Regions from separate parts of the Mus musculus genome. Here region 1 is reported to be linked to region 2. The links are microRNA targets in miRTarBase. Many come from high-throughput screens and were not tested one by one. Region 2 holds a microRNA gene; the other region holds the end of a gene's coding sequence.

What was found. Region 2 holds the annotated microRNA mmu-miR-34b-3p (AAUCACUAACUCCACUGCCAUC, at 2,466-2,487, shown strand). A microRNA usually pairs through its seed, bases 2 to 8, with sites in the 3' UTR of a target mRNA and lowers its output. Matches are read on the target gene's strand: a 7mer-m8 pairs with bases 2 to 8, a 7mer-A1 pairs with bases 2 to 7 and ends in A, and an 8mer does both.
Region 1: the mRNA of Pof1b is a reported target of mmu-miR-34b-3p. Seed matches in the 3' UTR shown: 8mer at 1,278-1,285, 7mer-A1 at 1,438-1,444, 7mer-m8 at 2,091-2,097 and 7mer-A1 at 2,170-2,176.

What each region holds. Positions count from the first base shown.
Region 1 is chrX:112,635,572-112,640,958 of GRCm38, reverse strand. It overlaps Pof1b (premature ovarian failure 1B), which reads left to right. Exons shown (of 17, transcript NM_181579.1): 17 at 518-2,532. The coding sequence ends at 523. Among named protein-coding and RNA genes, the nearest start is that of Zfp711, 38 kb to the right of the region's middle.
Region 2 is chr9:51,100,674-51,106,060 of GRCm38, reverse strand. It overlaps Mir34b (microRNA 34b), which reads left to right and starts at 2,416; the gene lies at 2,416-2,499. Hoatz (HOATZ cilia and flagella associated protein) reads left to right here and starts at 3,983. Exons shown (of 6, transcript NM_177702.4): 1 at 3,983-4,316; 2 at 4,969-5,007. The coding sequence starts at 4,091. It overlaps Mir34c (microRNA 34c), which reads left to right and starts at 2,951; the gene lies at 2,951-3,027. It also overlaps a transcript of Btg4 not described here.

The DNA.
Region 1 (5,387 bases), not on the chromosome of region 2:
TAGGATCTGATGCCCTCTTCTGGTGTGTCTGAAGACAGTGACAGTATACTCACATACATGAAATAAATCTAAAAACAAAACAAAACCAATTGCTTGACTACATGCAGTGACAATATTTTATGTGGAATTGAAGGGTCTAGTATAGCTATTTCTTCTGTCTGCAATGAAATACATAAAGTTGGAAAGCTGTATAGAGGAAGAAGTTCCAAATTATTCAATAAGTTCATAAATGATAGAACTGTATTTATTGACTCACATATTTCACCACATATTTAACCTTTAAATATGACAATAAGAACAAAATTACCCAATCTCCATCCCCCTTGCTTTACAGTCATTTAAAACACATTCCTTAAGTTGGAGATTATCATTTTATTGAATATTCTATAAAATAGTGTATAAAAGTGAGATACATTTCTGTTAGCAGTATACATACCCAACTGAATATTTTTAGTAACTATGTACATGTAAAAAAATAACTGTGAACCAATTTTAAGATGTATTTTTTCTTTTCTAGCCATGAATGGACCCATTCTACAATACTACAACCCAAAGGAAATTTTCTTTGTCTGCATCAGTATTTTAATTGTTATTTTTCTATTGCTAATGTGCAATCAAATTGTGAATCATGTTACTACGCCATGGATCTAGTGGGACGATTTAATTCTAGAGATGAGTTCCCCCTCATTCAGGAGAACTGAGTCTTTAAAAAAAACACACACACATTGATGTATTTGAAATTTAACACCGTGCAAATGAGAGAAAAAAAATGACCTTTGTGTTTAAACCCTGGTTGCAGACAGTGTAGAACCTAACCTGTTATTTTTATATAGGGTGCTTCCTATATGTTGAACTTATTCATACAATAGAGCCTTTACAAGTTATTCTATTATGTTAATGTGCAACTTAGCTATAGGATTCAGTCCTGTTTTTCAGCAAAACAGAGGCAATTAAATTTTAAAAAATAGGCTAACTAGAACATAAAATATACAGCCTTACTTTTCTCACATTAAGCTTGTGACTAATAGGAGTACAGCAGTGCTAACATATCTTGGAAACAGCTAAGTCAAAGGTGGAGGTTAATTTTGTTAATCATGGAAATGAGCTAATATCTTTTAAATAAATGCATTAATTGAATTATACATAGTTCTAAGTACATGTCAGTGCCTGGGAAAATCTGTTCTTTCAAAACATATTTTCTGCAAGTGGTCCAATTCACTTTGTAAAAAACGCAATACTGTACTGTAGTAGTGGGCATAAGAATGTAGAATTTTTCATAGTGATATACAGACATAACATTGCTATATTGCATAGTCATAAAATCTTTAACAAAAATAGCAGTAAAAGATACTTGATAGCTGTATCTTGGAGAATATTTTATAGTAGAGTCTTTGATGTAGTTAGAAATTTGTTACTTGAATTGTAATGGCGTTACAAAGTGATACAAGTATTTGTTTATTATATTATAAATAAGGAAGTTTCATAATATAACCCAATCAAAAGGTACAAAACATTGCTCATCAAATTAGGATTAAGGTAACAAATATATTCAGTTTACATGTTTAGTTCATAGTTTTGTACTAAAATATCTACAGAAACCTTTATAAAATTCTTCAATGCTTTATAAGCATATTCTAATTATTCTAAGAAGCAGTTAGTATAAGCATGGCTGTGGCACTATATGCACTAGAACTATGAGTTAGAAATATTTAAAAGGTCTTGATATGAAATTGAGTCTTATTTATATTCTTATAACACTTAAGATAAACATTAAGTTCTCTAACATGAATAAAATTTCTATTTTATCAATATTTTATGATATAAAATGTTAATGTTTCATATTTTTACAATTCCCCTCTATTTTCTGGACAGACAAGTTCTCTCCTCTGATAGATACCCATATATGCAATTATGGCAAAAGTGTATTGTTTTTGTCTATTACAAAAGTTACAATGGAATGCTTTAATTACCTTGACAGAAAAATGCCATAATTACAGTTTGAAAATGAGAATGTCTTTTTCAAAATTACAGAAAACTAATAATATCCAGAATTAAAGAGCAATTAAGAAGACAGTCTGTTTGATCTAAGATAGTGATTTAGAGTCATATAAATGTTTCCCATTTTTTTTTTACCAACGTTTTAAGATCAATAGAAATAAGAGGAATAAAAGTGATATTAAATTATACATTTAGTTCTGGAGATGGGTTCCCCCAGTCATTCAGGAGACCTGAGTCTGTTTTTTATACATTGATATATTTGATATAGCAACACGCAAATGAGAGGGGGAAAAACCTTTGTGTTTGAACTCTAATTGCAGGCAGTGTAGAACCTAACCTGCTATTAGGGTGCTTCCTATGTTCATCAATTCTGTGTAGTTACTCAATGAAAACTCTAGTGTCATCAGGTGAAGATGTCCATTCATCTCATTTCTATCTCTATATGTTTTCACTTCAGATTTGTCAAATAAAATGGAAACTGGAGAGTGTCATACAAAATATTCTTATGTATCTAAATAAAATATGTTAAGCATCTGTATTGTCTTTGTGAAACTTCAAATAGAAAGAACTTTAGCTTATCTTCCTATTTTACCAGGAAATATTTTATCCTTTGAATGTTTATATAGGAGCTATGAGGCAATTTTGTAAAACAAGCACAAAAGAAAATTCTTCTTGATATAGCCTACACGAGGTAGAACTTTAACAAAAGTTTGACATCCAGCTGGTGCAAAATTTAGTTTTCTAAGCCCACACATGGTTTTCTAAGATATTTTCTTCCCATCTTGGTACTGGTACTTTAGCCATATTACTTTTTTCAAATTTGAACAATATGAAAAGAGTGCAACTTTTAAAAATATTTAACTATCAAATTTACATCAGTTTAACAAAAGTCTGTCTTTGCATTTCTTTCTTTCTCATTATTGTAATTTATAAAGATTACATTTCTTTAGAAAATAGAAATTCTTTTGAAAGTAAATGTTTTCAAATGATTTCCTCAAATGACCCATCTTCACCAGGAAACACTGTTACAAAATTTACTTGATTTTGTAGTAATTTTTGTTCAACTGAAAAAATACATTATTTCATGCTTACTCTAGGATAAATAGTAAAAATAGTATTTCAGTAAAGAGTATAATAAGCACATCTTTCATTGATAAAAGTGCCTAATATTTACTCCAGAACAAGACATAACTTTTTATTCTATAAAGGAATAGTGGGATTGTTATGTGACGCAATTACACGATAGACAGTATCAATTGCCATTCTCAGTAATTTTCTTGAATTCATCTTATTAATAATGTGCTTATAAACAAGCAGGCATGGTGGCATATACCTTTAATCCCAGTACTTGGGAGGTAGAAACAAAAAGATCTCTGAGTTTGAAGACAGCCTAGTCTAGAAAATGAGTTCCAATATAGCAAGGGCTACACAAAGGAACCATGTCTCAAAAATTTGTTTTAAACAAAAGGTGCTTTAAACTCCCTGGGGCCTCCTGTCTCTTGAGAGTTAGGTGCATCATCTCTGAATGAACATAGACATGGAGGTCCTCTACTGTATGTGTGTTGGGGGCTTCATATTAGCTGGTGTATAAACCTTGTTTTCCCATCCCAACATATTAAATGTTTTGAAATTCATGCTACAGATATCCTTTGGGTGGGGGGGAACTTTACAATATAATGCCTCATTTCTATACCGTGTTTGCTAATACAATCAGTGAATACTCTATATGGCTCAAGAACCTAAAAAGCAAACCAGTATATTTAAATGAAAGAATATATAGGTATTTTAATGTAGTTTCCTAAAGGAGTCCAGTGAGACAATCATATTGTGGAAAATATCTGTTCCTAGGATAAGAGTTTGTAAATCAGATGGGAGGTGAATAAGACTTGCAAAATTACTATCAGTAATGCCAACTTTTCCAATTTTTAATGAAACAAAATTCCCTTTAGAATACTTACTTGCAAATGTAACATTTATTCACCAGATATAATTTTCACCTCATAGCTTACTGCTGAATAAGCTCACCCTTCCTAGTTCTTTCTGAACTCTGGCTGGCTGATTAAACTGAGCTGTTCTAGCTCAACACTCTCCAAGCTGACTAATTCAAACTGGCTTCTCTCAGATGCTGACTGAATTTCTTTGTCCTCAAACTAACTCTGCTGAGCATCACTGCATGGACTTTACAAAGTGATCTCAACTGAACTCCATTGAATTGCCTAGACTCAAGTGAACTTCACTCACTGAACTTCCCCCACTCCAGACTCACACTGCACTCCTTCAATTAGCCTCTCTTTCCTGTCCTCTTGCAAGCTGGGCATCTTATCTCTGACCCATTCTGTGAAATCTTTCTCAGTTTCATCACTTTATCTTCCCCTTTATAAAATTTCACTTTCGAAAAAGGTTGCTTCCTTCTACAAACTAACTTTACCTTCATTGTTAGGGGAATAATATAAATGAAACAAGCTTTGTCAAATAATGTTAATCATTAAAGATGTTAAAATGTCTAAGTGGGTCCTGAAAATTACTCTTGAATTTGTATATATATATAAATTTTATGAATGGTACAAAGCTGATATTGAAAGTTTTCCTGTTTGAGACATGAGTAGAATTTAAGAGCTCTTTCTGGGAAAATAATTCCCAGATACATTGTTCATACCATAGACCACTTAAAAGTGAGAGTTGAGTGAATCTATCTGCACACGATGGCTATGAACTAGTCTGTGAAAGGAACTTTACAGTTAAGTCCCCTACAGGTATTTTAGGGTAGTCATGTGCCAGGGAAACCTGTTCTTTTAAGGACATTTTTTAGTTTATAATGTGACTTCTATTTCGTTTGCACTGAAGTTTCTTTTAGGGACTATTTATAAGTAAAGAAATAGATCTTATTTAGTTCAATTCTACTATAAACACAAACACCTTATATGGTACCTTACTTCCCCCAAGAACTGTGATAAAAAGTCTTTACATTCTCCAAAATGATCTTCAAATATAAACAACGACAACAAAATGTGTTCCATTCTTTTAAACCTACAATGATTTTCTACTAGAAACTTCTAAGACTCCCATCTCTTATGAGTCCTACTCACTCAATGTCTCACAACAGGTTATTTTATCTCAGGTTGTTTGTATTTACAGGTTTCCTTTCCTTGTTCTCAGTGGCATGTCCTTAATAGGGATTTTCTTTATCCACGTACCCAGTTATTTAATCAAGAGCAGCACAGTTTTCTGGACTAATACTTGATGCTTTTTACCTAACACTTATTACTCAAAAAGCACAGCAAGTGAACTTGCTAGAAGTGTAAAACTTTAGTTACGACAACTAAATTCAAATTAATAAGATCGCTAGGTGAACCTTATAATTTGTGGAGCACTAGTCTAATGTATGAAGG
Region 2 (5,387 bases):
GCTCCTCCTCAAGGTGCCTTCCTGGATCTATCTAACCAAATGTAATGGTCTGCTTGGGCATTTTAACCACACCACAGGCATTCTTACTTAGATTAAAACATGAGTCTCCCTGGTCTCTAGACATGCCTAGGCATGACCAGCAGATGCAATAAGATCCTTGGAGTTTCTCTAGTAACTGTGGGCAGGATCAACAGCAACCCTAAGAACAGACATTCTTTTCTATTGTTGCTTTCTAACAGAACTAGGGCACACGCATTTTTTTTTCATCATTTTACTTTTTATCATTGAAGAAAAAAATTTAGTCTAAATTTCAAGACAGTTTATGCAATGATAGCTTTGGATGGAAGCAATAAAACTCAGGTAAGATATTTAAGATGCTACTAATAGAGAAAATCCCTAAGCTGGGTGGAAGCATGACACATGGAGTGAAATTGAGCAAAATGCAAAATAAATGATTTTTTAATGATGTCCTCCTAAAACTTGTAACTCTTCATAGTGTTTATGGGATGGAGGCTATTTCTACTACTTTTATTTATATTTGAACGTTTAAATGACCTTTTGTAGGATACATTATACTTTTCTCAAATACAAGAAGACTGAATACAAGATAGTTATTTACAAATGTCTTTCATAAGTTAATTTTATAATAATCTGGCATTTTCTACTTCATTTTCCTTTCACTTAAGCCTTCATAAAACAATGACTCTGAAGGAAAAAAACATTGTCTTTTACTTTCAAAGATAATGTTAAAATATACACAAGTTTATTCTTGGGAAGTTCTTGGGTTTTAATGGTTTCCACTTGGAATTTGTGTTGAATGTTCCTGATGATTGGCATATATTCATGTAATTAGTGGCATCTACAAGACCATTTGCTGGGCTTACAGGTATCAGTGTATAGCTAAGAAATGTCCCTTTGTAGACTGCAAGACTGTTGGATCAATACAAATGGGTGTCATACAGCATACAGGAAGACCACAGTCTGGGACGGCTACTTCCTACTGAATTCCACAAAGTTTGCAATCAGAGAATACTGTATATCCTCTCTGGGCTCAATTAATTAAAGGAAAGGAGAGGAAAGACTAAAGGAAAGAAATATTAGTGAAGATGGCGCAGAAATGCTGTCCCCTCAGCGCCTCCTATTCCCAATATACACAAACACGCACCCCGTTATCAGATATAAAATAGCAAAAACAAGGGGAATGTAACTGACAGAAGATATGGCTTCTCGGGCTTCTACAGACCTCATCCTTAATGTCCAAATCTACCCTTGCTTCAAGGATCTACCTGAACTCTCACCTCCTCCATGATGGTGTCTGTCAGCTCTTGTTGGCACACCTCCCACCCCCACCCATACCTGTTTTTTTCTATTAGGAAAATCTATCAGTTTAGCAACTTTATACTGTCTGGAGTAATAAATAATGTGTTCACATTTTGTTACCACCTAGACTGTCTGATGGGTAGTAAGACAAACGCCTGTTAGGTGCTGGATTTGTAACATTTAAATAAAACAGGAGCCCAAAGTGAGACTAGATATCCTCAAGGCTCACGGGGAGATCATCAAAACTGTGTCTTTGATCTTATAAGGGCCACAACTTTGACCTACCAACAAGGGTGTTGGTTCAATGTTTGACCAGAAGAGTGGCCCACACTTCACTGTATGGCCCTGTAAGAGGTAGTCCTAAGAAAGAACTTGGGTACAGGCAAGGGCAATCCTGCAGGTATGAGTGCCCAGGCCTGCTCAGGCAGGAAGGCTCCAGATGAGACGCCTGGGAAGCGGTTTCTGAGAATGGGCATATGAACAGTGAGGAGGCCTGGGGCTTCTTGGGCAATATATTGGGAAGGAGAGATGGATGTAGGTCTCTGCGCTTCTTTCTTCGATGTAGCAGTAACTACACTGTGAAGATAAACTTCTCAAGAATCTGTCTCTCCATCTCCCCGGCCCCTTCCCAGGAGGCTCTGCAGGAGCCCTCCCATTGCCCCTTCTGGTAGCTTCTGCCACCCCTCCCCCACTCGCCCCGCCCCCTCGGCCTCGGGGTTCCAAGGGCGGTTGGTCGCTGAGCCACGGTCACTCGGCCAGTAGGAGCTGCGGGGCGCGCGGGCTGGACAGAACCGGCTCTAGACTTGGGTCTGGAAGCCGTGAAGAAGTTGTTGGAGGCGGGTCAGACCCGGCTTGCGGGAAGAAGGACTCGGGCCGGATGCCCTGGGGTCCGGGCTGAGTCGGGGGTCTCGGGGGGGACGGCGGGGACAGGGGGCCTCAGCGCCTGGGGGTTCACCTGGGGTCGCGCGCGGCCCTGCTGGGTGTGGAGGGGCCTCGGGAGCCTGAGGCACCTCTCGCTCCGCCGCCCTCGCCTGTCGACCGTGGCGAAAGGGGGCGAGGGGCCCGACCCTCGGGAGCTGCAGTGGCGGGCGCCCGGTGCTCGGTTTGTAGGCAGTGTAATTAGCTGATTGTAGTGCGGTGCTGACAATCACTAACTCCACTGCCATCAAAACAAGGCACAGCATCACCCGCCGCCCGCGGGAGGAGAAGCCAGCGCTGCAGCCCCACTGACTCCGCAGAAAGCCGAGGCCGGAGCCAGGATGCGTCAGCAAAGGGCCGGGAGCACGAGGTCTAAGTGCAAGTAACCCTCGGAGACCGGCGGCCTCCTTTAGGGACCGTTCGGCTACCTGTGTGTAAGAGCCAGAGCAAAAACGGTTCAGTGATGTGTAAAGAGAATCGGTATACACCGGCCTTAACATAAAAAAAAAAAAAAAAAAAAAGGCCAGGAAGAGCCCCCCCCCCCCCCCCCCCAGAACAGTTCCTGCTGCTGCTGTGATTCACTGCCTGATTTCCACTTCTGAGAAAGCTATCACCAAGGCAGCGACTAGAGTCAACCACAGCTTGGCTGACGATTTGCTCTGGTCACACCAAAGTCTGAGAGCACCAGCTAAAGACTGCATGCTTTTTTCTGAGTCTAGTTACTAGGCAGTGTAGTTAGCTGATTGCTAATAGTACCAATCACTAACCACACAGCCAGGTAAAAAGACTGAAATTCCTCCGACTGAGCCTCCTGTGAATCGTCATTTTGGTGAGGACAGAGCCATAGGGAAATATTCTTACCATACTATTAGTGGTTTGGGGGGGGGGGGGGAACCGCTAGCCCTTAGCTGCTAAGTATACAATGTATCAATTTGTGTGGGGTACATTTTTTGTGATTTTTAGATATATTGGAAAAATAGAAATTATCCCTTAGCTGATTTGGTCATTATATTGACTTGTGATTATAAATCTTTGGACTTTGCCTGACATATTAATAACACTCTAAAAAATAAAGCGCCACGAAAATCTCAGCAATCGTGTTCATTTCCTTTCCAAAAACTGGCTTTAGGATCTCCATTTCAGCTCCTGTCAACCCCGTAAAGTCATTAAATGGTTAGTTGCTATACAGACAAAATCTCCAGGGAAACGTCTCACACATGATTGTGACCTGGAAGGGAACGTTAAATGTTTTCATAATTTTCCATGGGGCAAGGGAACTCAGCCCACTTAACCAGGTATATTTTTTAAGGTATTAACAGTTGCGTTCTAGGCAACTTTTCGTGGGAATAATTAGTGAACACGATTTAAAACCAGCTGGTTTCCTAATATCTGTAATAAAAGATTTGAGAGGTTTTAAATCACACAAGCTGTATCCACCGGTACTTCTCGGCCCAGTTCTAGATTAGCGCTTTATGCAGATGTATCAATGCAAACCTGAGAATTTCCCCAGAGGTAAGAGTGCGAAGCCTTGGCAATCTTGTCCAAAAGAGGAAGGCGCTCTTTAAAGCTCACATTATTGGGCTATCTGGGGGAGGAGGAGACGCTGGCTGAGGATCTAAGAGACAGTCCAGGACTGTACACATCACAAAGTTGAGGCTTTTACTCTTAAGGCTTGACTGGCCCCGAAAATTGTGACCTCGACAGAAGCCAGCTGCTGATGGGCCACAAGCCCTCGAGGAACCCCAGATCTACGGAAGAAGAAACACAGGCATTCCGGTGGTGGCAGTTACCAACAGGACGGTTCTCCGGTAGGGGCGGGACGCCAGAGCTAAGGAAAGCGTCCTGAGTCACCATGGAAACGGGGCCCAGAGGCTGTCCTAGCGGCAGGAAGGAATCCCAGGAAATCTGCTCCCCTGGATTACTGGTGTTCACCGGCTGCTCTGAGCAGGATGCCAATTTGGCTAAGCAGTTTTGGCTCGGGGCGTCCATGTACCCCACTACCGAATCTCAGCTCGTGCTGACCCGAGGCAGCAGTCAGAGGCTACCGGTGGCGCGGAACTCTAAAGTCGTTCTGAGAGGTGAGTAGCAAGGCTACCTCCTGGAAGGGGAAACTGCCTGGTCTAATTGTCAGTCAATTGAGAAGTACAAACAAGCAGAAACAGGCAGTAATAGGTATATGCAAATACACAAACAATTCTAAAACTGCTGCAATTCTCCACTGTAAAGGATCTCATTGTTACATATAAATTCATTCTAGAGCTGGAGAAATGGCTCAGCAGTTAAGAGCACTGACTGCTTTCCAGAGGTCCTGAGTTCAATTCCCAGCAACCACATGGTGGCTCACAACCGTCTGTAATGGGACCTGATGCCCTCTTCTGGTGTGTCTGAAGACAGCTACAGTGTACTCACATAAATAAAATGAAAATCTTAAAAAAAAAAAAAAATTCTAAGAGTCCCTTAAATGATGGCTTTTATTTGGCAAAGAGGATGGGTTAATCTAAGGAAATGGTGCTTAGATTAGGAAAGCATTTACATAAAATTGAATTCAAATTTAAAAGCCCAAGAAAAAGTTGTTGGCAGAGTCTAATTTAGGAACCCTGTTTCCTGACTGACAAGCCTTCGGGCCAAGGATGTATAAAGTGTTCTTATTCAATATTAATAGGTATATGAAATTAAAATACTGTTCATGTCAGCTTTTCCAATAACTTTCTCTTCATTTGTATTTCTTAGAGAAAAGTTCTGTCCAGCCCTTTCCCTTTGATCAGGACAGTAAGTATCAAGTTTTAATGCCTTTTTATATGTAGACTCCCCAGATTATCTTAGAATTCCTAGAAGTATACATTTACACTGTGATATAACTAAGCTGCATATCCCACACCTTGCTTCAGGGCTCACATACTCACCCAGAAGATAACTTTCTGACTCTACAGGCACTTTCTCCCCAGCATCCCTGACCCCACAGGCACTTTCTCTCCAGCATCCCTGGTCCCACAGGCACTTTCTCCCCAGCATCCCTGACCCCACAGGCACTTTCTCTCCAGCATCCCTGGTCCCACAGGCACTTTCTCCCCAGCATCCCTGGTCCCACAGGCACTTTCTCTCCAGCATCCCTGACCCCTCAGGGACTTTCTCCCCAGCATCCCTGGTCC